3 linked regions of the Oryzias latipes genome follow. The protein of the gene in region 1 interacts with the protein of each later gene in a pairwise test. Links are inferred from orthologs where the notes say so. Each region holds a gene or a part of one and is shown in the gene's direction. Other genes may lie near its edges. The genes, in order: gcc1, znf276 and cep70.

Region 1 (10,551 bases):
CTTGTGTACAGGAGTATTTCTGTTTTACATTAAGCGCCATCTAATGTCAGGGAATGAAATTGCATGTTCGCTCGGCTCATCGTCAGCGAAAATCGCCTGGGTGTGAACACAAAAAACGTGGCGAAAAACGCTGGCGAATAACGCCTGGCGAATATTCGTCCCGGTGTGTATGGGCCTTTAATCCGTAATCTCAGATTGATCAATCTTCATTTGTCAATGGTTTTTCTTTCGTTCAGGAACCTGCTTCTGCTTATGACGCATTATTCAGAACCTCACAGTTTATAAAGACGCCTTTGTCGGACTCCTGATGGACTGACCCCGTTGTGACAACCAGAACTCTGCAGATCCACCAGGACATTCAGAGAACACCTGATGGAGGCTAAGCCCCGCCTCCGTCTGCAGAAGATTCAACCACATTCAGCCACCAGAACCCAGCAAACCCAAAGGTTCTGCTGGTGGTTCGGGTCTTCTTGGCTTTTCCACTCACACATCCAGTTACAGAACCAGAACCACACCCAGGTCTGGTTCTGGAAGCCTTACCTGTGTGTTCTGGAAGTAATGTCTCCACAGAGGTCTGATTTTGTCCTGACCGCCCACGTCCCACACGGTGAAGCAGATGTTCTTGTACTCCACCGTCTCCACGTTGAACCCTGAAACACACGGCAGGTGACGCTAACGCCACAGGTCCCCAACCCCCCAGGGCGTGGCCCGGTACCGGCCCGTGGTCCACTTGGTACCGGGCCACAGACAGAACCAAAATTCCATCTCTGACTTGGAATTTTTCCATTTAGTTTATTTTCGGACACTAAAAGAAGTTTTATTTTGGAAAACCACATCCGTCTGTCTTGGTGCGTCACATGACTTCAAGAGCTAAATTAGCTTAAAAGCTAAAAATCTCACAATGTTTGGAAAGTTTCTTTGAGAGAAAAGATCAGCGAGGAAGAAGAAGGAAACATAAAGTTGCTGTTGACAGAAAAACTAGGAGTTTTCCTCCAAATAGGATTTATGGAGATGGTTGTTCTCACGGACCAGAAGCCGCTCCGCCTGAAACGCCGCAACTGACTCCAATGGTTCACAAGCGATAATAAAGATGCATAAAGATCATCTTGCTCTGTGTCAGAGCTTTGTTGTTTACAACTGGACCTCCAAGTTCATCTTCTATAGATTTATCCAGACCAATCACTATCTTTCATGTCATCAGACCAACGTACGGCCAATCAAATAGTGTGATGTCATTATTAGTCGCAGGCCCCCGAACACGGCCTGAACCAATGATGACATCACAGCATAGAAGAATAAAATTGGTGGATCCCTTGTAAACAAAGCTCCGACATTGAGCGGGCTTTTTTTTTTAAATCCGTGCGGCCAGTGCTTAAAGTCTGACGTTAGACCGGTCCATCAATCTACAGTCTGACGTTAGACCGGTCCATCAATCTACAGTCAGACGTTAGACCGGTCCGTCAATCTACAGTCAGACGTTAGACCGGTCCATCAATCTACAGTCTGACGTTAGACCGGTCCATCAATCTACAGTCAGACGTTAGACCGGTCCGTCAATCTACAGTCAGACGTTAGACCGGTCCATCAATCTACAGTCAGACGTTAGACCGGTCCGTCAATCTACAGTCTGACGTTAGACTGGTCCATCAATCTACAGTCTGACGTTAGACCGGTCCATCAATCTACAGTCGGACGTTAGACCGGTCCGTCAATCTACAGTCTGACGTTAGACCGGTCCGTCAATCTACAGTCTGACGTTAGACCGGTCCGTCAATCTACAGTCTGACGTTAGACCGGTCCATCAATCTACAGTCTGACGTTAGACCGGTGCGTGAATCTACAGTCAGACGTTAGACCGGTCCGTCAATCTACAGTCTGACGTTAGACCGGTCCATCAATCTACAGTCTGACGTTAGACCGGTCCATCAATCTACAGTCAGACGTCAGACCGGTCCGTCAATCTACAGTCTGAGGTTAGACCGGTCCATCAATCTACAGTCTGAGGTTAGACCGGTCCATCAATCTACAGTCAGACGTCAGACCGGTCCATCAATCTACAGTCTGACGGTCCGCCAATCTACAGTCTGACGTTAGACCGGTCCGTGAATCTACAGCCTGATGTTAGACCGGTCCGTCAATCTACAGTCTGACGTTAGACCGGTCCGTGAATCTACAGTCTGACGTTAGACCGGTCCATCAATCTACAGTCTGACGTTAGACCGGTCCATCAATCTACAGTCTGAGGTTAGACCGGTCCGTCAATCTACAGTCTGACGTTAGACCGGTCCGTGAATCTACAGTCAGACGCAAGACCGGTCCATCAATCTACAGTCAAACGTCAGACCAGTCCGTGAATCTACAGTCTGACGGTCCGTCAATCTACAGTCTTACATTAGAGCGGTCCGTCAATCTACAGCCTGACGTTAGACAGGTCCGTGAATCTACAGTCTGACGTTAGACCGGTCCGTGAATCTACAGTCTGACGTTAGACCGGTCCATCAATCTACAGTCTGAGGTTAGACCGGTCCATCAATCTACAGTCAGACGTAAGACCGGTCCATCAATCTACAGTCAGAAGTTAGACCGGTCCGTGAATCTACGGTCTGCCGTTAGACCGGTCCGTGAATCTACAGTCTGACGGTCCGTCAATCTACAGTCTGACGTTAGACCGGTCCGTGAATCTACAGCCTGACGTTAGACCGGTCCGTGAATCTACAGTCTGACTTTAGACTGGTCCGTGAATCTACAGTCTGACGGTCCGTCAATCTACAGTCTGACGTTAGACCGGTCCGTGAATCTACAGCCTGACGTTAGACCGGTCCGTGAAACTACAGTCTGACTTTAGACTGGTCCGTGAATCTACAGTCAGACGTTACACCGGTCCGTGAATCTACAGTCAGACGTTAGACCGGTCCATCAATCTACAGTCAGACGTTAGACCAGTCCATCAATCCACAGTCAGACGATAGACCGGTCCGTGAATCTACAGTCAGACGTTAGACCGATCCGTGAATCTACAGTCAGATGTCAGACCGGTCCGTCAATCTACAGTCTGACGTTAGACGGGTCCGTGAAACTACAGTCAGACGTTAGACCGGTCCGTGAAACTACAGTCAGACGTTAGACCGGTCCGTGAAACTACAGTCAGACGTTAGACCGGTCCGTGAATCTACAGTCTGACGATAGACCGGTCCGTGAATCTACAGTCAGACGTTAGACCGGTCCATCAATCCACAGTCAGACGTTAGACCGGTCCGTGAATCTACAGTCAGACGTTAGACCGGTCCGTGAAACTACAGTCAGACGTTAGACCGGTCCGTGAATCTACAGTCTGACGTTAGACCGGTCCATCAGTCTACAGTCAGACGTTAGACCGGTCCATCAATCTACAGTCTGACGTTAGACGGGTCCGTGAATCTACAGTCAGACGTTAGACTGGTCCGTGAATCTACAGTCAGACGTTAGACCGGTCCGTGAATCTACAATCAGACGTTAGACCGGTCCGTGAATCTACAGTCAGACGGTAGACACCATGGCCTCAAAAAGGTTGGAGACCTTTCCTGACAGCTCCCATCTCTGGAGAGATTCAGGTGGTCCACATCCAGACCTTAAGATCCACACACAGAAGTTTGGACCTGAAACTTTTTTAGTTCCAGAGAGTTCCATTTGGAGTCTGTGGATTTGAACCCACACTGTACCAGCATCAGGGTGGACGCTCTACACTAGGCCACTCAGCTGTGTGGACTTTGTAGAAGTCCTTTAAGAAACTTTAAGGAAGTCAGAGAGAGCAGACTTTCAGTACAACCAGTACCAGCGAGAAGTACCAGTAAAGATGCTGGATCCAGACTGCAAAGCATTATGGGACAGGATGACTTCACACAGGTCAACCACTACTGGGCTGTGGATCACACCAAGGATTCACGTGACTCCACACCTGCTCACCTGGACCGTGAACGCCTCGCTCAGACCGATGACGTCACCGATAACTGATCATCGAACGCTCCCAGTACCAGACCTGTACTAAGCCCCGCCCCTCGGGGGCTCACTCACCGATCGTGGGGATGGTGGTGACGATCTCTCCGAGCTTGAGTTTGTACAGGATGGTGGTCTTTCCGGCCGCGTCCAGACCCACTGAAACAACAGACAGCCATCAGGTTCCGAACAGTTTCCGGTCCACTCCGACGGGGGCGGAAACACGGCTGCCGTTAGCTTAGCTAGCTCCGCTGGCCGGAAGTTTGATGGATTTCTGCTGAGCGGAATGCCAACGGGTCCGGCCCGAGCGGAGTAACCCTAGCGGGGGCAACCCGGTTCGTTTGGACCTGCGACCCGGAGCCCGGCGGCGCTCACCCATCAGGATCCTCATCTGCTTCTTCCCGAACAGCCTGGAGAACAGCGACGAGATGGTCAGACCCATTTCAGCGGAGGTTCGGTTCGCACAGCCTCGGTTGGACTGGTGGGGCAGCTCCTCCTCGGTGCCACGTCCAGGCCAACGCGGAATAAATGACGTCACAGCCGCCTCACAACTTTATTGACAGGGTTGAGTGCTGCGTTCAGTGCCCAAGGGAAGAACTGTGTAAAAGGCTTTTCGGTACGTTTAGAAAATACTATCTTCTATTTTTTTCGAACAATTTTATTTATATGATTGAAATAAATAAGATCGTCTTTCAAGCAGAAAGTACTAGAAGTCCTAAAGCCCGTTTTCACTTCATTTGTTTCTGAGTGGTGTTTGCTCCTGAAGGCAGCACTATGCCCCGCCTCCTTCTCTTGCAGCACTTCCGGGTTGAAGGAACGTTGAACATGGCGGCCGAGCGGCACTAAAGCCTTCAAACTCATCAGAGCTGGCCCAGAGGCGGTTCTCCGTCCGGGATTTACTTTTACAAACCAGGACATCGAAGAAAGTTCAGAAACGAAGCGAAGGTGAGAAGAAAAGACATTTTTAAAGCCTTATGTGTTCCGCCTTTAAACCCAGAATGTTCCGGCTCCAAACGCAGGTACCCTCCCGGTTCGGAACTAAAGAATCGTCAGTTAACTGAGGAAGAAGTGGTCTCAGTTTGTACCAAACCGGGCCGGTCTGACTGTATGGATCACACGGCCTTGAAGGAGAAATAAGGACTAACGTGAGAAAAATTCTATTGACAGATTTGGACTGGTTCCAGGTTCAGAGATCCTGATGGATCCCGGATCCTGACGGAACCGGAGTCTCCAGTCTCCTGTGGCTCGGCTTAGACATGGATAAGTTCGGGATGAGTTTTGGAGGCGGGCCCTCTAGGAAGGAGCTGCTGGACACCATTGAGTCGCAGAAGAAGCAGTTGGTCCAGTACCAGACCCGGTTCAAGGATGTTGTCCGGGCCTACAAAAGCCTCCTGAAGGAGAAGGAGGCCCTGGAAGCCAGTCTGAGGGTCCTGACTGTCAGCCAAGAGGTGGACCTGAACCAGCAGCTCACCACTGGAGGCCCAAACTTCCTGGAGGACTGCAGCTCGGTGCACAGCGAGGACAGCGGGAGCGTCCGAGAGGACCGGAGCGAGGAGGAGCAGGGAGAGTCCAGACCTGGACCAGACTCCACGGTTCGTCCGAGCACGCTCACTCCAGCCTGACCTCCCGTCAGCAGCTTACCATCGGGCTTTTCTCCACAGCCGCCCCGCTCTGAGCCGGACGTGGACATCGGAGAGGCGGAGCAGCAACAGGCCACGCCCCCTCAGAACCTGGAGCCGGAGCGCCGCCTCTCCCAGCTGAGGAGCCAGCTGAGCACACTGACCGCGGCGCTGGCCACCGTCACGCAGGAGAAGTCTCGGATGGAGGCCAGCTTCCAGGCCGACAAGCGGCAGCTGAAGCAGGAGGTGGAGGAGCTGCAGGAGCGGCTGTCCGCCGTGACGGCGCAGCAGGAGGCGGAGCTGGGCGACCTGCAGCAGCAGCTGGCGGAGTGCCGCGCCCGCGTCATCACGCAGCAGCACGAGCGGCAGCGGGAGCAGGAGGACCACGCCCAGCAGCTGCGCGAGCTGCAGAAGCTGCTGCAGCAGGAGCGGGACGCCCGGCAGGACGCGGAGCTGCGCCTGCAGGACGCCAGCTCCGCCCTCATCGCATCCTCACAGGATCGAGGGGCGGAGCTTGAGCTCCACCTGAGCCAGGTGAAGGAGCAGAGAGACGAGCTGCAGAGGCGGCTGCACAGCCTCGAGGAAGGCCAGAAGAAGCCCGACCCCCGAGTGGAGGAGCTGCAGAGGGAGGTGCAGGAGCTGAAGACGCGATTGCATCAGCAGGTCCAGACGGAGACCAAGAAGGTGAGTCCGACACGGCGCCGCTCAGAACCGGACCAGGACCTCCAGCGTTCTCTGTGTCGCAGGCGGCCGTGGCAGAGGAGCGCGCCGTGGAGCGGGCGAAGGCGGCGGAGCTGCGGGTGGCGGGCCTGGAGCAGCGGGTGTCAGAGCTGTCAGAGCTGCTCGGGTCCTGCGAAAAGGCGAGGCAGCGGGACCAGCACGCCGCGCAGAGACTCCGGGACCGGATCCTGCAGCTGGATACCGAGAACAAGACGCTGGCGCTCGCCGCCTCCGGCAGGTCCGGCGCCGACCTCCGGCTGGACGAGGCGCAGCTGGACGTGGAGACGCTCAAGGGCAAACTGCAGACGGTGAAGAAGCTGCTGGTGCTGGCGGCACAGAAGAACCCGGACCAGAACATTCAGGACCTGACGGAGCCAGCCGACCACCCGCCCTCGGCGGCGGTCCAGCAGGAGCTGCGGCAGCTGAAGGAGGAGTTTGAGCGCTACAAGCAGCGGGCGCAGGTGGTGCTGAAGAACAAGAACGCCAAAGACGGCTGCCAGGCCCAGGAGCTGGAGGAGGTCCGGGCCCAGCAGGCCGAGCTGCGCGAGAAGTACATCAGCCTGCGGATCCAGGCCGACGAGGCCGAGGCTCAACACCGCCGGCAGCTGGAGGAGCGGCAGCAGCAGATGGCGGCGCTGCAGCAGGCCCACCGTCAGGATCTGGAGCGGGCCGAGGCGCTCCACCGTGAACGGCTGCTGTGCCTGGAGGCGGAGCTTCACAAACACCGGAACCGCGCCATGGTGCTGCTGGACGAGAAGGACCAAGAACTGGAGAGGCTCCGGGCCGCAACCCTGAGCTGCAGGCGGGAAACCCAGGAGGACGGAGGCGCGGAGGCTAGTTCTGACGGCGAGGGCGACGCCGTCAGCCAGGCCCTGCAGCAGGCCACGCCCACGGAGTCCACGCTGCTACTGTACGCCCAGCAGCTGGCCCGCATGGAGGTGGAGGCGGGGGCTCTGCGGCGGCAGAAGCACCAGCTGGAGGAAGACCTGCACCAACTGCAGGCTAAGCTCATCGCCAACGCCGAGCGGCACGACGAGGACGCCGCCCAGCTCCGAGCTCAACTCGACAAGCTGGTCCGCGACCAGAGCCGCGAGGGCGCCAACCTGGAGTACCTGAAGAACGTCATCTACAAGTTCCTGACCCTGCCGGACAGCGGCGGGCGGCAGCAGACGCTGGGCGCCATCCTCACCATCCTGCACTTCAGTCCGCAGGAGAAGAGCGATGTCCTGAAGCTGCAGGGGCCTGCCTGGTGGGGCCCCGCCCACAAGAAGTGAGACCGCCATTGTCAACCGTCTATTTGAATTAAAGTATTTTTCTGCTCTGTCGGTCTCCGTCTTTTCCCAGTTCTGCTGGACCGGACGGTCCGTTAGCAAAGCTCGTCTGAAAGGAATGTGCAGCCAATCAGGAAACAGATCCAGCAGGGGAAGCGCAAGTTCTGGTTCTGGTTGACAGGGACTGGGTCAACCTGAGCATTTCTCAAGCTTTCATGCATACAGATGTCAGGGTGGTTCAGACTTTATTGGACCTTCACAGCCTCCAGGTTCTGTAAACACTTCAGGGGATCATCTGTCCAACAGCAGAGCGGCGACCCGGTTCTGCGGGTCCAGAAACCATCAGCCCGTTTCAAAAACCTCATGCAGATTGTCCCGCAGTGATCCGATCAAAGTTCTGATGAAAGTGTCCAGGTTCTGTAAGACTCCGTCTTGGACCGGCAGCTGCTGTCTGCGAGCTTTAATCTGAAAGGAACAGGAAGTAGAAAGGTGAGGGCAAAGCTTTCCGTTCTAAAACTCAATTGAAGGGCAGATGTGGAGAAGAGAGAGAATCTGCACAAAGACGTGTGGACACTAAATTCATTTCAAACGGGACATTTCTGAGTTTTTGTCTCTAAACTGCTCATTTTAGAGCCGTTTGACGTACGTCTATAAAACGTAGAAATGCTGCGTTCAAGCGGTGTTTGAATGACGGGAAGAAGGAAAAACAAATGTTGGATGCTAGAGCGGGCCCTGAACCTTTGTCCTCTCATTTGAAACTTCAGTCTTTTATTTTGATGGTTCCCCTGAAGGAAGTGCTACATGAAGAAAGTTTCAGTCATTCATTAAAAATTCATTCAATAAAACTATTTACCAAATAAAAAACAACCAAATAACTGTGATTGTCAAAGAAATTCAATCTAGTGGATCCTCTGCCGTCATGGTCCGGGGAGGGGGGGAGGGGGTCAGGGATCAAACTGAGCAGCTGATTCCTGCACGTCTGTTTCTCATCCAGTAAGAATGAGAAAAGCAGCAGCTCAGCATTTCTCTCCAGAACAGAATTCCCTCGTTCATCGCAGGAGTTCTAAAATGAAATCCAGGGAGACGTTTCTGGCAGAGAAACTCCTCTGCACTCTTTCTACGCTTCTCTCTTATTTAAATTCTCAAGCCTTCATAGACATTTAGCCCAGCATCTTAGAATGAAAACAAAGACCTGATCGCGATCAAAGATTTCTGACTCGGCAGAATTGATTGACAAGGTCTCCAGCCAATCAGCACACAGGACAAGGTGCACTTTTGGAAAAAAAAAAGAAAAAGAGGCATAAAGATGAGCTGTGCCGTAGAAAGGTGTTAGGATCATGTAATTATCATTTACTTACAGGCTATTATCAACAGATGGTCTCAGTTCAAAAACAATAACTGAAAAGTTCTGACTACACAAGATATGATGTTCCTGTTCTGCTTGATTGAATGACCAGCTTTCATGGTATCGACCAATAAAAGCAGACTGGATCCACCGGGAAGGCAGCTTTGCGCTGTGACCTTCTGCAGACGTCTCTCATCTCCTGTGTGGTTCTTCTCAGAACCCCGACTAAAGGAAGCCCGTCTCCTGATTTGACAGGGACTTTAGAGGGTTCAGGTCGGGGCACAGACTGCAGAACGGTGGACTAAAACGTGTTCTATGTGGGTCTCTGATATTGTTTAGGGGCCGGACCAAGCATGGAGGCGGGCCGGATCAGGACCACGGGCCGTAGATCGTCCAACCCTGCAGCCACAGAAGCGGCTGGAAGACAGCAGCCCGGTTCTGTTGGGTCACCGGGTTTGACTTTGGTGGGGAGGTCATGCTTTCTCCTGACCTGATTTTGGAGCAGACTGGGAGAGGAGGTGGAGGAGGAGGTGTCATAAGGAGAAACTCACCAGCTTCTCTCTGAGCTTCAGGATCAGGTCCACAATCTCCACCTCAGATTTGTCCCTGGTCCATCCCAGCAGGTCCTGAGGGGAGACGCCTCAGAGTCAGGACAAAAAGACCAATCAGCTGTCGCGGCTGGGAGGGAGGGCGGGGCTTACCGCATCACAGATCACCTCCAGGTGGAGGCTCTCCAGCTTTTGCATCATCTCCTTGTGTCGCTGACGGTACCAGCCATCAAAGTTGGGAGATCTGAAGAACTTTCTGAGAGCAGGGGGACATGGACCAGAGGATGGGAGGCGGGGCTAATCACTCACTGACCACACATGACGACACCACCGGACTCACCTGTACAAACCCACCCAGTCCCCTCTGAGCGGGGAGGTAAGCTGAGGGCCTGCATGCTCCAGCGTGGACAGGAAGTCTTCCTGGACGAAGGGGCGGATCTGAGGAGGAGTCTGAGCACAAACACACCTGAGAACCTCTGCGGAGGACGGGATGCTGCACCTGCTGTTTACCTTCCAGGGGGTCACGGATCTCTGCAGGGGCATCAGGCTGGCCATGTACCGCTCCTGCCACACAGAGCACAGGGCTCAGGTCTCTGTCATGTGCGTCTGCTCAGGTGGGAGGAACCACCACACCTGCTCTTTGCGCTCACCAAAGGAATGATGAAGCTCTGCGTCAGCTCCAGCAGGTGGCGCCTCAGGATGGCGCTCTGCGCCTCCGACGGCCGCCTCCTCTGAATGCCCTGCAGATCCGCATAAACACTTCAGATGAAGCCACGCCCACCCAGGTGTGTCCACCTGCTCACCTTCAGCAGTCTCTTGATGAGGATCTTGTCTTTGTGTAGGAAGGTTTTGTAGGCTGTGTAGATACCTGTGCAGACACATGCATCAGGTAGCAGACGTGAGCAGAGGCTCAGGTGAGTTTGTTCTTACCTGGTTTGGTGTCGAGAGTCTTTAGTTTGGACGACTTCTTCACCTTCACCTGCTTCGGTAGGTCAGCTGCAGGACGATATTTGATGAGCTACACCAGACAAGCGTGTGGCACATGTCATGTGTTGGTGGCGTGTTTATAACGTGTA
Region 2 (10,389 bases), on another chromosome or scaffold:
TGTTGTTCTATCTTTTGAATAAACAGTATTAAATAACATAAACATTTTTATGTATTATTCTTTCTATAATCTTTAACTCAATCTTTTTTCTTTAACTTTCACAGAGGAAACTTGGATGTTTCTGTCAATTTTTTTTCTCAGCTTGATAGACATAAAAATCAACAGGATCCTTTTAAAAAGAAATTCTTTTAAGACTTTAATGTAAATTTGTTTTGTAAAGGGAAAACTAAAAGCAACTGTATAGGAGACACCAAATAAGTATATGCATCTGTGAATGGAGATGAGCACAGAGCTCAGGGCAGGACAGCTCTCTGAATATCATTGCTATGAAAACTTTATTGCATTTCTCTCAGGCACCTTAGAAAAGTAGAAGGCATGAAAGAAGTACAGAACATCTAAAGTACAGTAAAGAAATAGATATTTGCCAAAGTTAAGCTTAAAAAAAGCAAGTTATCCTTTGCACCAAAAAAGAATAATACGTTGGTTTATATTAGAGAGCAGAATATTCTGAGGCACTTTATTTGCTTCCTGCAGAGGTTTTCAGGTTGAAGAGTTCCTTAACCCACTCAACGTCGTCTTTCATGCAGATCGGTTTTCCTTTGACAGGTATGACTCTGTAAACAATATTATAAAGCATTTTTTTAGTGTTAGATCATGTTATAGACTTAAAAACATTGTCATTCAGTTAAATGTGAGGTTTAATGTCTTTTACTATTTAAAATACATTTTGGGATCCAATGCAGAAAATTCTCCCAAATTGGGAAAAACATTGAAAAACTTTAGATGTAAAAATAAACCTCGTCCAAATGAACGAAAGATCGTTTAAATGCACCCCAGTGGTACTGTTTTTGTCCCATCTTCAGAAATTTATGAAGAATCCTATTTAAACTTCTCTTTTTTTACTGTACAAATAAAATACTGATGATAGAAATTCTTTCAAAACCAACAGAAGTTTCAAAATACCCCCCAAATGATTTCACATTCAAATACCGGTATATCACTTTAATCATATTTTTGTGTATCAACTACAGACTTACATAAACGCATTTTTTGAACAAAGACGATGGGTTTGGATGATGTCTTTTACAATCTTTTGTGGTGGTATGTTTTTGAAGTCAAAGCAGCATTGTCCAGGACCTGTGCTAGCAGAAACTCCAAAGGCTTGAACAGACCAAAACAATAAAAGTTAGTATCACTCAAGAAAAGAAGACGTAAAAATTCGGATGAGGAACAAACATGAGAACTTACGCATGGCATCACTGCAGCAGACAACAAACAGCAGCAGCCCGAGAGAGAAGCAGAGAGTCTTCATGGCGTTCTTTCTGACCAGGAGGAGATGAGGACGATGTTCTTCTCACTGGGTTCTTGGATCTTATGGAGTCTCAGCACTTCTGCTGCCCTTTTTATAACAGGTCTATTGCAGAACCAACATGATCATGACATCACAATTTCCTTGTACCTTCACAGTACGTTGTGGCCAGAAAGAAAGAACCCACAGGATTTCAATGATACATTTAATGATAAATTATTTTGTTTGTAATATTTTTAATATTTCTATTTTTTCTGACGCAAAAATTTAGATTTTTTTTTTATTTGAAATGGTTTATTTCAAGCAATTAAATAAGAATAATACACAAAAACTATACATTCATCAGTTATACATTCATACAATGATGTATCGAACTGAGGAGAATTAGACATATTAATAAATATTGCTTGAAAGGGAGTGGAAGGAAGCGAATTCATATAATCCCACCCCGTTATACCGTAACCATTTTATTATACGATTTATCATTATCCGCTTCATAACTTTTATCAGACAGAAGAATCCTGAAGTATCGATAAAGCACGTGACAAATATGAATTACATAAATGATTATGTAAAAAATAACTATTTTAGAAATCAACATGGCAAATGCAGATCATTTATCTAAAATACATGCAGATTATGTTACTTATAAAAAATCATGTATATTATTAATAAAAACTATATCAGTAAAATAGACATAACACTGTTTAAAAAAATCTTCATTGCAAAAATTGATCAAGTATCAAAAGTAAAAAAATTTGCAAAATGATGTTACATTTGGAAAGATCATGGATCAATTTTTGGAATAAGATAAGTAATATCATTAGAAATTAATCAATTTAACCATTTTCAATAATTGATTAAGCTTCTTTTCTTTTAAATAAATATGGAGACCATATCATTAATGTGTCATTTTCTAGGTCAAAGACAAAGATTAGATTAGATTAGATTAGATTAGATTAGATTAGATTAGATTAGATTAGATTAGATTAGATGGATTATTTTTACTTTCACAAGTATAGGGACATTAAAATGCTTTCTGATCAGTACCTAATTTATTATGTTTGTAAAACATGATAAAATATAATTTATACTATAATTTATAATTTATATATAAAGTTTAAGAATAAAATAAAATAAGAATAAGAATTTAAAATAGAATGTGTAATAAATAAATTCATGCCACATAACACAGTCACAAAATAAGTAATAAGAACAAAACAAAATATGTAATAGATACAGGTCATAAAAAGAAAGAAAAGACAATGATGCTATCTTCTTGATATCATAATTTTTCTTAATTAGATAAACATATTTGCACTTATGTATGCAGTACACACATAACACATTCAATCTATTCAATAGAGTAATTGTCAAATAGTTTGATATTAATAAATAAAAAGGGAAAAGGAGGAAGCAAATATGTATAACCCCACTCTCATTTTACATAATTACCATATTCCAATTCTTAACATCTAGCTATTCATATTTCTACACCAAGTACAAACTACTTAAATATGTTATTTTCGCAGCAGGTCTGTCAGAATTAAAAGAATAAAACAATATTACAATGATTCTAAGTGATGAATTGAAAATCTCTCCTTTTTATCGTTTACATTTTTTTTACTTTAAGTAAACAAGAAACAGAGAAGAAAGAATAAATAGGAAGTGTGTTTTCTTTGAAAATCTATATACATAATGCAGCAACTTTGCTGCAAAGTACTTTTTAAAACTTCAAATAATAAACCTCTTCCTTTTTCAGAGTCGACCAGTTTAGTTTAGCGTGTGTGCTGGAGACCACAACTGCTCGTTTGTTTGTTTCGACATGCTTGTAATGGTAACCCACAACACAGAGGTGTTTAAAATACAGGAATCCAACATTTCTGCTACATCACTTCCTAATCATCATTTGCCGCCACTGAATTTTGTCCAAAAGCTTTTGTCCTTTGACTTTGTCACCGACCAAGGGGATTGAAAGAGTCAGATAATATTTTAATATTCAGTGCCAACCAGAAGGGAAAGTTGAAAAACTCTGGGACTTTCAACGTGCTCTGTACCTGTGGGTGGCACCCTCTCATGGGGCTACAATTGTCTCTGATCCTGACAGGGTGTCAGTGGGACATCCAAGAGCAGGTTCTAGAACAGGTCTGGTCTATTGTTGTGTAACAAGCTGCATCACTTTTTGTTCTATAATTCAAGAGCAGCCTCCACAGGATACCACGGGGATGCGGTTGAATCCCTTCTCCAAATCCACGAAACACATATAGACTGGATGAGCGAACTCCCACAAACCCTCCAGCACCCTAAAGAGGGTGTAGAGCTGGTCCAGTATTGACAGCCTCACGCCAAAGTCATTGTCCTCTGCTTCCTCAAAAGAAAGCTTGTCAGTATGAAGATCCTCAAAGTATTCCTTCCACCGCCCCACAATGTCCCCAGTCGAAGTCAACAGCTCCCCACCTGCACTGAAAACGGTGCCTGCAGAGAACTGCTTTCCCCTTCGGAGGTGCCAGGCGGTTTGGCAGAATAATAAACCAAAATTAATAAACATAAAACAAGGATTTTAAAGTAGATTAAAAGAAAAGTAATAAAAGCAGGTTTTATTATTACTGTATTTAAAAAATTCACAAAAGTAGTTTTGTTTTACATTATAGTGTTGTGTGTTTACTGTTTTTAGTGTTAAAGCGCTTCGAGCTGCACAAAGTGCATGAGAAGCGCTATTTTATAAATAAAGTTTGATTTGATTTGATTTGATATAAACTGATTAAGGATTATCCTCCCACTCCTTTTCAAGTAATTCATTAAAGTGTTTTTCAAAAACTTCGCATTTAATATATCTTTTGTGTCATGTATCGTTTGTATAAGTACAAATATGTCTATTTATGATTTAAAGAAATTAAAATAGCATAATCTATATGTCTATGTGTGAAGTATACACATGGATAAGTATGTATTTTATTTTTTGTTTTCATTTAAATCCAGACTATTTTATTGTAACCCCTTTTTTTCTTTATTTTCATTTGTGTTTAAAATAAAGGAATTGAATTGAAAAGAAAAAAAAGTTCGATATATCAATGTATAGATTTATATCTCTTTTGTTTGTCCTCTTTCTTTAACAGATGAAATTAATTAATTCTAATTCCAAATGCCAAATTACTATTTGATAATTTGCTTTAAAAAAAGGCATTTATTCTGTAAAACGCATCAGGTTTAAGCATTGACCGTTCGGTTCGTTTGTCCACCTGCTCGTTAGGTGGCGCTGTTTGCTCCATGTTTCCGATTGTCCGTCTGGTTGCTCTTCCGGGGAACAATGTTTACAAACGAGCTGAGGCAGAATATGAGTATCTTATGAGACTGGATAAAACACGACATGCTGTTCGTGATATAGGATTTATGCACCTTTAAGGTAGGCTTCGCTTTTAGTTTGAATGCAGCTTCAGGAGTTTGTAGTTTTTCTGGAGTTAAAAAAACCTTCGGAGCAAGCTCAGTAAGAGTAAGAGGCTAACCGAGCTGGGCTAACGGGATGTTTTTGTATGCAATGCTAACTGTGTGTTCATGTCATCGACCCTTGTTGATGATTTTTTTTATTTTCTGTAAAAGAATAGCTTTACAGCATCGATTTATAGCATTTAATATAAGAAATAATAATTTGTGTTTAAAGGCTGTGAAAATAAAATATTTCCCAATGCTCAACGTGAATGTAAAACAAGTTAAGAACCATAGTATCATCATAGTGACGTGAGGTTTCTTTAGGGGTTGTGGGAGTAATTTATCATAAAAATTTTAAATGTAGTCATTTGAAATCTTAAAACATTAACCTTTAAGTTATAAAACCTTTCACTAAGTGTAATTATATTCATTTACTATAAAATAAAAAAAATATTAACAGATGCTGTAGTACTAGCAATCCTAATGAGCTAAGCCTTTTAATTTTATTTACATTTATTACATAACTATATGTGGCTTTCATTTGAACTCAAGCAGCAGATTTTCCATCATAAGAGCAGCTGCTGACAGTCCAGCCCTAAATAAAAGGCATGAAGAAGAAAAGCAGAAGCCCCAGATCGAAAGAGTCGCCATGGCTGCAGACGACGGGGGAAACAAACGAGAAGAAGAGGCCCACCGGCAGCAAAAGGAGACCCAGAAAAGGTCAAGCTGCCGCCGCAGACGGCTGTGACGGCGCAGAAACACATCAAACCGCCAGCACAAATTTCAGCGTGGCTGCTGACGAAGCACAGAAACATGCAGAGAGCATGTGCAGCTCTACAGGTGAGTCTCACAGAGGAGCTGGGGTTCACAGGTGCTGAAGATTTGCTCTTTCAGCTGGAAATGGCAGCCACTACTCGTGTGCCTCCTGTTGGCAGTTGTTGTTAATACTCATTTCTAAGTTTTAAAAAGATAGAATGTGGAAACTACGGTGGCCCTGAAGTGCAAATCAGATGAACAAATCTCCGAACGCAAAAACAAATCACGACAATTAAGAAATTAAAACAAAATTAAAGAAACCAAAACGTAAAAAAAGACCCCAAAAAAAATGTGGAAAATAAAAGTAATTTCCAGAAATCAAAAAGATGATAATGACCTTTGAGTTTGAAAAAAAAAAACTGTGTTAAAGAGTTGATTCACTTTTTCAGTGACTGTGGCCAGAAGTCTAAAGAAATCTCTTCTGTCTGAAGATATCATGACAAATAACTTCCTGTTGAAAAGGTGAACAAAGGTTATCATCCAATCAGTGATGTCATACCTGTATAATACCTACCTTTTCTGTTTTTTTTAGCCTTTTCTTTTTATTACTGGAAATTAGTTTCCCATGAACGTTTTTGTTTTCCTCATCTGAACTGGCATCTGGATCAAAGCTGTACAGCTGGATAGTTCCATTATTGATCGCCCTTTAATCTTAGGTTGGGGGTGTGAGGGGCTTTGGTGAGTGCGTGTCAACAGAGAGTAATGGGTGACGGGAAAGGGGGTGAGATTGCTCCTATTGAACTACTGCTGCTCTGCAGAAACGATGTCTTAGAAAAGGACACAGGTTATCTACAAAATATTTTCCAGGTGTAAGAAAAATCCCTTAAAGAACTTCAGGAGAATCTCAGTAATGCCGTTTAAAGCTGTAAATGTAATAGTTTTCTATCTACAGGCAGACTGTCTGCTGCCGTCTGTCGACTCTGCCATGGGAAGTTCTCCCCTCGCAGTCTGCGGAACGCCTTCAACAAGTTGCCTCAGGACTCCCCGGACACAGTTGGCGCTGCGACCCAGTCGCCCCTTCTGTTTCACTCAGACTTCCAGCGCTTGGTCGGGGTCCGCTTGGACCGGGACCCTCGGCTGTCGGAGTTTATCTGTAAAAAATGCCACGCCAAGTTCTACAAGTGCCACGGCATCCTGATCCGGTTCCTCCAGAGAGTAAACATCCCACCAGTTGGAAAGGAGAATCTAAAAATCCAGTGAGTCAGAACAAAAACCAAAGTTTAATGAGTCACTATTTAAACAAATCCAGAGCTATACACAAATATCTTTTTTGCATGTTATTCAGGAAGAATGCAAAGTGTCCAGAGTCAACAATGAACTACAGTTCCAAAAGTAAAGGAAAACATTTCTCTCTCTTCTTGGCTCTAACGGGTGAATTGTTCATTTACTCAAACTCATTTTCACTCTTTCAGCTCCATCTTCCTTCACCTCAGACCCAAAGTGCCTCCACAGCCTGGTGTCCTGGGCGCACCACCACGGGGAAGCCTGCCGCTTCTGCCCCGACCTGAAGGAGGTGCTGGAGGGCCAGTGTTGGGGCTCTGTTAAGGCTGTGTGGGGCTGCGTGGACGGTCACAGATACATCATGGACACTCGCTACACCCCTCCTCCATGCTTAAGCCGCGCAGAGAGCCTCAAAGGTGGAGATCTGGGGAGGGGCATCGGTGATGGAGAACTGTCGGGTGAGGAGCAGGATGACGAGGAGGAAAAACAACCTCCTGGGAATGGAAGGACGTCATTGGAAGATGTGAGCTCTCAGCGTCAGAGTGGTCTACCTGCAGCTGCAGTGCAGATGCAGAACTCTGCTCCGGATGAGTGGACTGGCAGCAGTGAAGGTGAGACCTGCATTTCAGAAAGTCCTCCGGCTGCACTAAATGCACCATGGAGCGGGATGCAGGGTGCGGTTGTCTGAAACCCTGATGCTGCACAGCTTAAGCATTTTGATTTAATGCCAAAATAAAAAAAAAAAAATGCTTCTAAATTAACAGAAAACAAAGTCGGTTTCTGTTCCAGCAAACAACATGTTTACACTGACGGGTTCTGGAAAATAAAAGCCTGCATTTAATTCAACAACGCAGCTGAAGATCATTTCGCATTACATCACATCAAATATAAACAATCCAAAAAACACGTTGATAGGTCCAGGTCTTGTAAATGAGGTTTGACTTATCTGGTTAAGTGAACGTAAAAAAATATTTTAAAAAAAAAACAGTTTTAGGCTGTATTCAGACTGGACACATTTGGTTTGCTTAAAGTGAATCAGAGTCCTTTTCCTTGGATAATCCAGAACAGATTTTCCCTTTGAATACAACCAAAGGCTTTAACATGAAAAAAGAAAATGAAAAAAAAACCCAACAAAGCATGTGTCTGAACTCCATTAGAATTCAGAGCACTAGATAGAGGTTACATGGAGTAGTGAGGAAATTCAGACAAAGGCTTAGTTTAACCAAGAGATATCAGCAATTTTATCCATTGTTCTCTAGATTGTGAGAGGAAACCAACATAAAATGTATTTAACTGGGTTTAATGATACTGAGGATACTCTGATAAATGCTTTTTCTCACTTCAAGTCCTTTTGTTATATGATTGCTCATGTTTTTGTATAAATATTAGGAGTTTTCCGCTGATTTCTTTCTATCTATTTGGGCTCTAATGCATCCGTCAGAGTCTTGGACTTACATAGTTCTGGTTTCTTCTCCGTGACAGACTGTGCGGGTCCAGAGGAGACCACGTCTCCAGCACCGGTCCAGCTGGAGGACCAAACTGCCGACAGTGATCTGTCTGACCGGTGAGTGGATTTCTTTTTTACCTTAAAGTATTTGTCAAGTTGAAAAACAGCCCGGCTTCAAATTTCATAATAAAACCAATTAGTGCCCAAATCACCTGAACATTATTTCTGTACTGGTAAATATTCTTTTACCTGACCGGTAAATGGAAAAAAAAATCTTAAAGTGAAATTATGGGTCATATCAGCTTAAAGTGAATAAAAAACCAGATTGTGAAATTGAGAATTCGAAAACAGTTTTAAACTCTAAAATTAACATTGTAAACTTCAAAGAAAAGAAATAATTGTAAATTAATTTAAAACACCACTTTTTAGATTTAAGCCCACACAGTAAAGAAGTTCCTTCTTTCTTTATTCTCTTTTATGAGAAGTTTGTGAGATGTTTTGTTGTTACTTTGTAACTTTATATGCATTTCTTTGTACACGTTTAATGTATTTTGTGTCTTCCTTTATACGTTTTTATCTGCAGTGAACAGCACTTTGGACCTGTGTTGACAGTTAAATTTTTTTTTTTAACGTTTGTTATTATTACTAAGAAATACAGAGAACTTGATTTGAATAAAACTCTAAACCCATAACTGTCTAAATAACAAAAATATTTTTTTCTACTGCTTTATATTTCTAATTTTTGTTTTTTCATATTTAATATATATATATATATATTAAACAAAATCAAATTGTGGATATTTATTTTAAGTTTATAATGTGTAGTTTCAAGTTTAAAACTCTTAATTTTATTAATTTTTAACCTGGTTTTTATTCTCTAAGCTGATCCTCATGCGACCCCATATGAAGACATGAATTCTTGTTTTCGGTCAATGAAAATGTATAAAAAAAGATCGTATTTTGATACAGTTGAGGTGTAATCACAGTAATTTAATGGGGTTAATAATTCTTTTTCCTTCAAATGTTAAGTTTTAGCATCGACTTGCTTTCAAACTGAGACGGGTTTGGTGTGTTCAGGGTCGTCTCTGAGGAAGAGTGTGAAGAAGGCACAAAGGGAAGCCTGTCAGACGAGGAGATGTTTGAACCGTACGCTGAAAAGAGGTTGGTCAAAAATGACTTTTATACGGACCTGAGCGGGAAAAAGTTAGAAGAACTTAAAGGGATTTTTGAGCTCTTAAAAGGCTGGGATGATGAAAGCAGGTGGTCTTCATCAGTAAAAATATGTTCATATAAAGATGACACTGAGCAATAGGGACCTTTGGAAGGACAAACTAAGAATATGAAGGATAGAGAAATGTATAATTATTACTTTATATTCCTACTATTTGGAATAAAACCATTAAAAACACGCCACAGGGAAAGAATGGCCGGCTGTTTATGGTAGTTTTATGGACTCTGCTGTCCAATAAACATTTTAGTTTTTGTCCTTTGTATGTGTTCAGTATTTCTGGAACAAAAATGTTTTCTCATTTTAATGTATCCTGAGCCAATGATTTGTGGAAGCTCACCCCCTTAAATGAGCTTTTAATTCTCAGGATGAAAATAAATACGATTTCATTTGGTCTCTTATTTTTTCCTCCAGAGCTCGCAGAGTAAACGGCCCCGACAAGAGGAGACAGAGCCTTAAATCCACAGAGGAGCCCAAAGTCAGAAAGAAACCTGGACCCAAACCAGGCTGGAAGAACAAGTTCAAACCTAAAGGGTTTGTGCTGAGATTTACACTATTCTGAGCATCTCCTCCACCCATGCATTGTACTGTAGTTACAACAAGAAGATCTATTCTTTAAGTAAGTGGGCTCCAAACTTTTCCAGGCCACGGAGCGGCCTGTACGAGGCTAAAGGGCGTGTCCGATTTGTTTATTCATTTATGTATTTTTAAATCTCACAGTTTCCTAACACCTCTAAGGGGAAAGTTTATCTTTGTTTTCTGTCAAATCTCTGCAGCTGCTTTAAACTTTATTTGAACACTAGATTTTGTGTAGGAACCATTAAAATGGAATCTAGATTTTCTTTTAACCCATAACTGTCAAAGTGGAAGCTAAAGAATCAGACGCCAATCTCAGCCTCGTATGACAACTGTTGTGAAACAAATGTAGCAATAAATCCACAC
Region 3 (10,215 bases), on another chromosome or scaffold:
CTCAAGTCCTGAACACCAGCGGCGGCAGCAACACACCAACAACGCACAATTCTGTATCTCTGCATTTTAGACGTCCGTTTCTCAGTCGAATGTTTTGTCAGCCAGAGATGAACTAGTGGATCTGGTTTTACGCTGATGATACAGGTGTCTATGTGAAAGAACAAATACACTAACACACCATGAGGAGACATAAACCCGCCCTTTACACGCCAGCATTGGCTGTACAGATCATATAATGTCAATGTCACACACACCGGTATGGGGTTGACCCCCAAGGGTGTTTTTAGGTTGTCCGTGTCTATGGCGGGTCATAGAGAAGAGTGGCTACATCTGAAGTTGTTCCCTCAAGGCTTGTTGAGAATGGAACATACCATCATTGTGTGTCTGTGTGGCAAGTATATCGGGAAGTATTTGCCCTTGCACTACACCCTAGTCGTTAATTAGAGTAAAGCCTTATGTTATGTTCACGCTGCCCTTGGAAACGCGTGTTCAAGGAGCCAGTTTCAATGGAAAGTCATGTGAACACGCGTATATGTGCATTTCAGGCTTCCACATTCAAAACTCTTGCGTTCAGGCGTTGCTGCACCAACATTTAAGTCAGTTTTCGGCCTCTACATACAAAAACCATTGAACATGCATTGAAAGTTAAACTAGATGAGCTTTGAAAAATATGGGACGGTAGTCACTTATTAATAGTGCCCCTTTTTAATTCACGAAAGTGTCAACTGTCTGAAAATTAATCATGGAAGAAACATTAATAATTGCGTTTTGTGCCCAACTAGAATTCAATGACTCCAAGTCAGAATAGAGCTGTAAAAGAAAAAGCCTGAAGCAAGATTCCCGATCTATGGCCAATTTTCTATTCGTCCGAATCCTTAGAATCAGCGTACTGAAATCGAATGTGGTTTTAAAAAAACATTTAGAAGTCAGAAAAAACCTCATTAATTCATGTCCACGTTTAACAGCGTTTAAAAAAAACTTGCAATGTTTTGTACTTTTAGTTTGGTAGAATGATCTCTCCTCCTAACGTTCTCCACCATTGAAACCTCAGTGAGGATGAGGAGCACCACCAGCAGTCCATCTTCAGAAGAGGCGAGTGTGGGCGAGGCTTCAGGCTGAAGGACAAAGTTCAGTTCCACCTGTACGTCAGCGCTTCCCCTTGCGGGGACGCCTGCATTTTCTCCCCCCACGACACGGGGGTGGAGGGTGAGCTAACATCTCGTCCCAAGTCCAGCGCCGCAGAGTCCACCGCTTCATCCCCTCTGTCCCTTTAGGTTCGGGCGACGAACCCCTGAGCAGAAGGACCCGTGGGGTTCTGCGCACCAAAGTCCAGACTGGGGAAGGGACCGTCCCAGTTCCCTGGAAGGAACCCCTCCAGACTTGGGATGCGCTTCGACGGGGGGACAGGCTGCTCACCATGTCCTGCAGCGACAAAATGGCCAGGTGTGGAACTCTGGTTTGATGTTCCAGGTTATAGGGGAACACTTTCACAATAAAAGCACGCGGATTGTTAGCTGCTAATGGAACTTTGGGATTCTTTATGGGATTAGGGATCTAGTTATCCCTGTTTTCAAACTAGTCCCTGTTTTTTTTTTACTTTTCAGATTCTGGCCCCTGTTTTTTGTGCTATTGCTGCTCCCTTATAAGGGCGGGGCCTGTAAGGGGGCAGCAATAGCGGGGGCAGGGCTCCATAAAGAACGACCCCTTCAGCATGTTCACATTCGTTGCGCTTTTTCTGCGATCTGTTCCTCTTCTGTTGGTTAATTCCAGTTTTGTTGTTTTTTTTCTTCTTTGGTTTTGGTTTTATTTCCGTCAAATTTAAATTTTATTTGTTTTATCAAACTTTTTCATGATAAATTCTTAAAAATTTGTGAATAAAATACCGTCGTGTGTTTGTTTTTTTACTTTTATAAAACCGCTACTCTATAAATGCAGGTGTAGGGTAAACGATTGACCTGTCAATCATTATGAGTTAGTGGTTGGTAACTTGGATGTCTCCGATTGCGTTAAATCGTATTCTTGCGTCTCTGGTGAGGTACAGGTGGAACGTGTTGGGGTTCCAGGGCTCCCTGATGAGCTACTTCACCGAGCCGCTGTACTTCTCCAGCATCATCGTGGGCAGCCTGTACCATGCTGCGCACATGTCCAGGGCCATGTACGGCAGGATCGGTCCGTTGGAGGGCCTGCCGCCAGGTTTCTGCCTCAACCGGCCGCTGCTCAGCGGTGAGACAGATGCAGGAAACGCCCGGTTCTTGGGTCACGGCCTCCATCAAAGTTCCCTGACTTTGGTTCTGCAGGAATAAGTAACCCAGAGGCCCGGCAGCCCGCAAGAGCTCCACCCTTCAGCGAGAACTGGACTGCAGGTGACGACGATGTGGAGGTGATTGACTCCACCACGGGGAAAGAAGAAATGGGTGGACCGTCAAGACTCTGCAAACGCGCCTTTTACTGCCGCTGGATGCAGCTGCACAGCAGGGTGAGCAGATGCTGGCATTATGTTAGCTTTTATTTAGCTAAATAAGAAATTGGATTTGCTGAAAAGATAATCAGCTAAAAAAACAAAAAATAGTATTTGCTAATTTGCTAATAACCCAAATAAATATTTCCTTATTAGCTTAGTAGTTAATAATTGTATTTGCTATCAAACTAAGTAGCTAAAAAAAACAAATACTAGGCTACATCTAAATGATGCACTATGTAGCTCAAGCAGCATTCTGTACAGCTGTCCGAATCTACAATTTCAAAATCGAGAGTCCTGAAAATTTCCCAGAAGTCACTGCAAACAACCACTGTCCATTGATGCTCACCAGTATAAGTATAATATAGTCCACAATGCAATTTCTTCTTAACAATTTTTGTTGAGGGGGAAATAAATGTATTTTTTTAATAAACCATTAACGTTTTCAGTGGTTATATAAAGTCGTATAAAACGCTCAAATGAACTAGATGTTGGTGATGTCATGAACATTTCAGTTTGAGAGAAAAAAAAAGCATTTTTAATGATTTTGATGCTTTTCCACAACCTCATCCCAGACAGAAATACACACTTTACTTTCTAAATCTTTGTTTGAGGCCTCAAACTCCTTTTTTAAGCTATAGATGTGTGAAGCCTTAAATATGAGGAGGATCCTCTTTGGTCTGACAGCAGAAGTGAGAGTTTTTCTCCGTCTTCTTGTCCGTGTAGCTGTCCTCCTTCCTGCGGGTCTCAGCCCCGCCGCCCAGCAGCTACCACCAGGCTAAGCGGGCGGCCGAGGAGTACTGCTCCGCCAAGCACACGCTCTACAGAGCTTTGGCTGACGCTGGACTGGGCATCTGGGTCAAGAAGCCCGCAGAGCAGGACCGGTTCTCCCTGAGCAGCTCCTGACTCCTTTCAGATGAGCTTCCTGGTTGCCATGGAGACGGGACTGGCAGCAGACCCAGCAGTCCAAAAATGGATATCCTCAGTTTTACCTTGTTTCTGACTGACATGTGCAAAGTCTTCTGGCTGACGCAACAGCGCCACCTGCAGGAGGGGAGCCCTCGTACATGGAAATCATTCAGACCATTTGTTTATTAGGAGGAAAAAAGAATTAAATGTTTGATCTTTTTTATGTTCTGTTAAGCTTTGACGCTCAGATGTTGAAATGTTATAAATAAATGAAGAGGAAAAAAACGTGAGTGAGCGAAACAAATTGTTCAATAAAGTTGCATTAAAAAAAATCTTGTCTGTCATTGGCTTATTTTAGTGACGTCATCACGTACGGTTTGAATCTGAGCCCCAAACAGTCAGTTGTGTTCGTGGCGGGTTTTAAAGAGGATTTTTGTTGTTTTTATCCTGTTGAAGTGCTTTTCAGAGGTTTCTACGGAGTCCGGACTGGTTCGGTTCCTTTATTCGGAGAGTTCGAAACGGTGCCGAGAGTCCAACCGAACCTTTTCCACCGGCATTTCCACGGTTCTCATTCAGGAAAGCGGTTCTGTTCCAGGGGACTGACGGGATGTTGCAGGTGAGTCACGTGACACTCCGCTTGGTAACTGAAAACTGAGGAGGGAGGGGGGCTCAGTTTTCAGACGCGCGCGCGCGCCAGAGCACGAGCGTTTTCAGTTGAGTGGAGGTTGTTGGGGTTCAGAGCGGACATGCGGCCCCCGGGGGGAAATGGGACGTTTGTCTACCTGTGGACCTGCAGGCAGTTCCAGGTAGCGCCGCGGTGGGAACCAGGTGGGTCCCGCTTTGACCCGGGCGGTCTGACCCGGGTTGTGTGTTTGTGTGTGTGTCGCAGGAGCAGCAGGCGGAGTGGGAGCCGCTGAACCGGCTGCTGCAGCAGCGGGGCTTCCGGCCGGTGCTCTTTGCGGACCCCGTGGAGAACAAGAACCCTGCAGGTGAGAGCTCAGGTGATGACGTCACCGCCCAGCAGGAAATTCAACCCAAATGGTCCAAAGCTGCCTTTATTTGGTTAAAAACCCAGCAAATGCGGCATTATTGGGACTAAACAGAAACTAGAATCCATTTTTGGTTCTAAATTGATGATCTGGTTCCTGCCTGCTCCTCTGTGCTTCCAGAACTGGGCCTGCTGGACAGGAAGTCCGCAGCGGCGCTCAGGCGGACTCTGGAGACGCTGCTGGCGGACTCGGACAGGAGGCAGGCTCTCCTGCAGGAGCTGGTCGGGTCCAACAACCGGCTCCGGTGAGTGGCGCCCCCAGCTCTGACTGATGACCCCCCCCCCCCCCTTTGCAGCATTGTGGGGGTTCAGGTTTCTCTGTGGTCATCAGTGAGGTCTGGTCGTCTGCAGACCACCTGTCCTGTTATCCAATCCCCCGTCTGCTGTCCAAGCGTAACCGTGGCAACCGCATCTCTGATCCCATCCGATCACACAGAGGCTTTTATTTTGGTAAACGACTGGCGAACATCAGCTGAGGGGAGGACGGCTCCCTCAGGGACAATGTCTCTGTGAGATCCAGGATCAGGATCTCCTGTCAGGAACCGTGAGCTCTGACTGACAGACGGCAGAACCAACTTTTGTCAACTTCTGATCAAACATCCGCACTTCCTGTTAGACTTTTGTTTATCCTGGTTTTATGTAAAAGTTCCTTATAAAACTAAACCCATCAACTTTCATATAAACTCAAAAACATTTAAATTGGTTTAAAGAATATTTACATTTCTTTAAAAATGATGTATTTTTGCATGAAATACCGAAAAACTTTATTTATTCTACAAAAGTCTAAAAAGGTTAAAAAAAAACAAATACAGTTTTAATGATGGGAAATGAAAAACTATTATAGAAGGATTTCAAACTGAATAAAGTTCAAATTGAAATAACAAATGGTTTTAAAAAAATGAAATCAGGCATCCTTACTTTTAGGTTTTACTTGTTTTTTGTTTGCTTGTCAAATGTAACTAAAATGAAAAAATACTCGGCATGTTAATACTTTTTTTTTTTTTGTCATTTAGTATTTTATTGGTAATTTCTTGTTTGATAAATCCATGCTCTTATTTTGAAATATTTTATTGTATTTATGTATTTATAAATTTCAATGGATTTCTTAAATTATATATATATATATATATATACATTTATTTACCACCAGTTTTAACTTGTAGTTTAAAATTGATATTAAAATATATTTTTTACTACTTTTATTTACCTTTTATTCATAGTTTGACACTAAAATGATCAGAATCATCAATCAATCTGTAAATAATCATTTTAGTATTTTGAATGTCAGTTTTAGTTCTGTCCAGCAGGAATGAAGCCTTAAAAAAGGGGGCGGAGTCAGGAAAACAGAGGCTTTTCTCCTGTTGGTCTTTTTTTATTTTTATTTCTTTATTTTTTTTCTCCAGGGAGGAGGTCCAGGAGCAGATGAGTCGCGCCGCCCAGCACTCCCAGAGGGCCTCGGAGCTGCAGGCGCTGCTGGACCAGGTGAAGGTGAAGGTCCAGGACCTGGAGGACCGCTGCATCTGCAGGGCTGCGCAGACGCACAGCCGCACGCTGCAGCTGCAGCGCCACAGCGCAGAGGCCATAGTCAGTCCCTGATCTTTGCCTTCATTCATCTGACTTCCCAGTTTTCATCAAAAACCGTAGAAATTCAGCATAAAAAAAACAAAATTCAATGAAACCTTTTATTTTGAAATGCAGCTACTCTCCCAGTACTGCTGTCCCTCAAACAGATTTCAAAATAAGAGACAAATCAACTTCTACATGCCCCTCTGCCCCTGATACCCTGATCAGAGCTGCGACGTCATGAGATGTGACACTTTCCTTAAAAAAACATTTTTCACAATGGTGCTTTTTGGTTTGTTTTATCTCCATAGCAACCATTTAGTATTTCGATCGATTTTGTTTTTTAAACCACGCCCACATTCTTAATATATTCATATAGCTGATCCATGCTTAAATCAAAAACTTCTAGTTTAAAGGTTTTTTTCTTTTCTAGGAGTTTAAATGTGTAGCTGCTCCTAAAGATGATTTTTACGAAACATTCAAGATGGTGGTCTCTTCCTCGGGTCAAAGGTCAACAAACCTTCAGTTGTAGTCGTATAGGGAGTAAGCGAACTCTACTGTGTTCTTTTGTAAAATATTTTTGTCACTGACATGACGACTGTGAATATCCAGCAGTAGAATCGGTGACTCGACACTTTTTGCTTGGACCTCCCATTCCTGACACAAATGTACGCTGCTATGGTAACATCCAATACCCCAAATCTACGTTGTTTGGATGGGATTTGTTTACAAATGACGTACATTTTACGTTAATAATTATACCCAAATATTGCATAAACATTTGTCATTTTTTGTAGCAATGATCATATACAAAAATTAACTTTGGAAGAAAATTTTTAACGTTAAATATACTTCATAACGTCGATTTTAAGTATTTATTTGTTTGGGAAATTTGCTTACGAATAACGTAAATTTGATGGTATTTCAGTGAAATTTATGTTATTTGTTTGTAAACATTGCATACAATAAATCAAATAATACGCAGATATTTGGAAATAAACATAGGATAGAAATACATCAATTTTAATGTTGTCTGTTTGCAAATATCGAATAGAAACGACGTAAACTTGATCTTCTTTGGTTGCGAACCTCGCAAAGAAAATTACGTAAATTCTGTTATTTGAATGCAATCGTCCCAAATGAATGTCGTGAATTTTCTTTTTTTTTTTTTCAAATAAATTACGTAACTTTGATGCTAACCTAGCATATGAATAACGTAAATGCTGATATTGCGATGCGAGCCTAGCATCCAGAAATCCCTTATATGGTAAAGGAGTTCTGGAAAGTGGTTGGGGTCAAAGTGCGCAGAGCTTTGGTCAACAGACTGCCGTCTTCAGCTCTGGACCTGCGGTCCTTCCTCTGTGGTTCTGGTTCTGGGTTAAGGCCGTGTGTTTGTGATCCCTCTGTGGTTCTGGTTCTGGTTTAAGGCCGTGTGTTTGTGATCCCTCTGTGGTTCTGGTTCTGGTTTAAGGCCGTGTGTTTGTGATCCCTCTGTGGTTCTGGTTCTGGTTCTGGGTTGAGGCCGTGTGTTTTTGGACCCTCTGTGGTTCTGGTTCTGGTTTAAGGCCGTGTGTTTGTGATCCCTCTGTGGTTCTGGTTCTGGTTTAAGGCCGTGTGTTTGTGATCCCTCTGTGGTTCTGGTTCTGGTTTAAGGCCGTGTGTTTGTGATCCCTCTGTGGTTCTGGTTCTGGTTTAAGGCCGTGTGTTTGTGATCCCTCTGTGGTTCTGGTTCTGGTTCTGGGTTGAGGCCGTGTGTTTGTGAACCCTCTGTGGTTCTGGTTCTGGTTTAAGGCCGTGTGTTTGTGATCCCTCTGTGGTTCTGGTTCTGGGTTAAGGCCGTGTGTTTGTGATCCCGTCAGCGCCGCTGCGAGCAGCTGCAGCAGAAGCTGCGCAGGAAGGAGGAGGAGGCCGCCAAGCTCCGCTGGAAGCTGCGCTTCGCCGTGGAGCAGGAGGAGCGGCGCTTGGCCCGGCGGAACCGCAGCTTCCAGGAGATCTGCGGGAAGACGTCCCGGCTGCAGACCGCCGCCGATCAGCGGTGAGGGCGCCGCCCGCCGCCGCCACGCTCTGCTGCGGCTCTCACCACAGCAGCGTTTGTGTCTGCAGGGTTTTGGACGTCATCGACTTCTACGAAGCGGAGAGGAGGCGACTGATGGAGGAGCTCAGGTGAAGCGGGACTCCTCCTCTTCCTCACTTTCAGGAGCCTCAGTGTCAAAACGAGGAGATTAGGATTAGGAATAATCCCAAAGGGGTTTTAGTATGAAACCTTCTCCTCTGCAGGTCTGCTAGAGGAGGAGCCGAGGCCTCGGAGCTGCAGGACGGTGGGGAACGGACCGCCGCCGGCGCTCCTTCATCCTTCAAAACAGACCTCAAGGCAAAAACTCCCAAATCCAAATCTTTGACTTCCAACAGGAAAAGCTGGAAATTCCATTTCCTGGAAGCTGAAGAGGAAGATTGGAGGAAGACCAAAGGGAATTATTGGTCCACCTGACAGGAAGTTCATTTAAGCAAAGACTTTTATTGTCTTAAGATGCCCAGTTCAAGATTAAAGCTAAAGTGTTTTACCAAAATAAAAGTCTGGGTCAAAAAACGTCACGTTGGCAAAAAAAGACTTCTAAAAAATCATTTAAATCAATCAATGTAAACATAAAATATTAATATCCATTTCAGCCAAAGAATCAGATTTTTCTGAGGGAAGATTGATAAAATACAAACGTTGAAGCATTTATCTGAAGTGGGATCGGTTGAGTTTTGAGGTCACATGATCTTTTCTTGGCTTCCTAAAGTTCTTCAGAAACATCTCTTACTTTGAAGGATTTCTTTTTATCTTTAATGAGGATAAAACCAAAAGTTGCCTCTAAAACAGTCTTTAGGCTTATCTTTTAGGGTCCGGCTCTCACCAGGTGGCGCTGTCCTCCTCAGGTGTTCCCACAAAAGGAGAGGCGCACGCAGCTGGAGGCGGAGCTAGACTCCAGGTGGGTGGAGCTCCTGCTGCTCCTCAGGGTTCTGCTGGGAGGCTGATCCTCACGCTGCCTCTGTTCCTCTGCAGACCGACCCGGGAGCAGCCGAAGGGCCGCAGACGGCGCCACCTGGAGGGGCTGCAGCCGGGCGCCGCCAGGTACGGCGGCAACAGAAGCTGTGGGCTCTGGACTCTCTTTGGGATATTTACTCATAGAACTGGTTATAGTCCATTTTTATTTAGATTTATTTATTTTAGATTTTTTTAAACCACATTAAGTTGTAATTTGATCATTTGGGGAAAATAATGACAACAAAAACGACCAAAAACAGTTTCCACCTTCATTCTATTTGCATCGTTTTGACTTTTTACTGCTCAAATGATCCAAATGAATCTGTTTTAAAGAGAAACCTGATCAAATCATTGGTTTTGATATAAAATATTGTCTTCCTATCGTTCTTTTCTGCTCCTTTCAGGCTACAGAAACATTTAGTTTCCCTAAAATACTGTTGGGAGCTGAAAAAAATGAAATCTTGACAGACTTTATATTTGAACGTTTTTGTCTGAAGTCTAAAGCTAGGGACACAAAAACACTCGCTAAAGGCATTTGGGGTTCACACTGGACCAGCAGGGAGGGGCTTCTTCTACTCTTTACCAGCGCATGTCGAAGTGGTGCAGATCTGGCGATTTCAGCGCAAAATGGTTCCGTTTCTTGCTAGTGCCCTCCGTACGCCGAATAGGGATTAGCGTCATGTAAGGGGAGGGGCCTCTTCTTATCTTTGTTTAAAAAAACAAACGCGTGTCGTCGGGTTTGCGATAAACCAAGTACCCTGGAGTTTGGCGGGGTTCTCCACGTCTGTTTGACCTTAACACGTGTGTAATGGCCGTGCCTTTAGTTTGAAAACTGTCGTAGGAATTTGTGTAGCTCCACGTGAACGCAAGAGTTTAGAACGCAGGAGCTGAGACGTGGACCAGCTAAGGACCAGCTGAACGCAGCCTAAAGGTGGTTCTGGTGGAGTTCTGTTGGTTGAGGGTGGAGCTCCTCTGCGTGGTGACGGACAGAGGAGGAGCTACCTACGGTTATTTTCCACTCCTTTCTTGTCTCTGCAGGTTGACCACAGTGGGCGGAGCTAAGACAAAGGGCGTAGAAGAACCTCCTAGGGAGGTCTGGCTGTGCGCTCAGTTCCGAACCGTGAGCGCTCTTCCCCCGGTCTCTGTCCAAGCTTCACTCTGATGTTTTCCTCCTTGTTTTACCGTCTCCTCCCTCTCTCTGCTTCCAGC

The links.
Region 2: the proteins of gcc1 (region 1) and znf276 interact in binary tests that used the Homo sapiens proteins (3 or more experiments, as listed by UniProt). The two-hybrid records come from large-scale screens. The link is inferred for Oryzias latipes from reciprocal best matches to the Homo sapiens genes GCC1 and ZNF276.
Region 3: the proteins of gcc1 (region 1) and cep70 interact in binary tests that used the Homo sapiens proteins (3 or more experiments, as listed by UniProt). The two-hybrid records come from large-scale screens. The link is inferred for Oryzias latipes from reciprocal best matches to the Homo sapiens genes GCC1 and CEP70.

Annotation. Positions count from the first base shown.
Region 1 is NC_019881.2:23,898,002-23,908,552, forward strand, and holds gcc1 (GRIP and coiled-coil domain-containing protein 1), read left to right. Parts: upstream 1-4,793; 5' UTR 4,794-4,917; intron 4,918-5,139; 5' UTR 5,140-5,228; coding exon 5,229-5,564; intron 5,565-5,633; coding exon 5,634-6,275; intron 6,276-6,337; coding exon 6,338-7,585; 3' UTR 7,586-7,632; downstream 7,633-10,551. Other genes in the region: ADP-ribosylation factor 4, read right to left, coding at 541-650, 4,051-4,131, 4,348-4,414. UniProt on the Homo sapiens protein: Probably involved in maintaining Golgi structure.
Region 2 is NC_019864.2:27,730,627-27,741,015, reverse strand, and holds the start of znf276 (zinc finger protein 276), read left to right. Parts: upstream 1-4,580; 5' UTR 4,581-4,712; intron 4,713-5,287; 5' UTR 5,288-5,343; coding exon 5,344-5,575; intron 5,576-6,443; coding exon 6,444-6,747; intron 6,748-6,836; coding exon 6,837-6,883; intron 6,884-6,963; coding exon 6,964-7,383; intron 7,384-8,254; coding exon 8,255-8,336; intron 8,337-9,296; coding exon 9,297-9,380; intron 9,381-9,861; coding exon 9,862-9,981; intron 9,982-10,389. UniProt on the Homo sapiens protein: May be involved in transcriptional regulation.
Region 3 is NC_019860.2:1,157,028-1,167,242, reverse strand, and holds the start of cep70 (centrosomal protein of 70 kDa), read left to right. Parts: upstream 1-3,722; 5' UTR 3,723-3,974; coding exon of another isoform or gene 3,975-3,983; 5' UTR 3,984-4,113; coding exon 4,114-4,173; intron 4,174-4,256; coding exon 4,257-4,356; intron 4,357-4,536; coding exon 4,537-4,660; intron 4,661-5,818; coding exon 5,819-5,999; intron 6,000-7,837; coding exon 7,838-8,013; intron 8,014-8,081; coding exon 8,082-8,141; intron 8,142-8,255; coding exon 8,256-8,349; intron 8,350-8,897; coding exon 8,898-8,950; intron 8,951-9,024; coding exon 9,025-9,093; intron 9,094-10,044; coding exon 10,045-10,126; intron 10,127-10,214; coding exon 10,215-10,215. Other genes in the region: double-stranded RNA-specific editase 1, read left to right, coding at 1,052-1,206, 1,275-1,443, 2,042-2,223, 2,298-2,476, 3,185-3,364.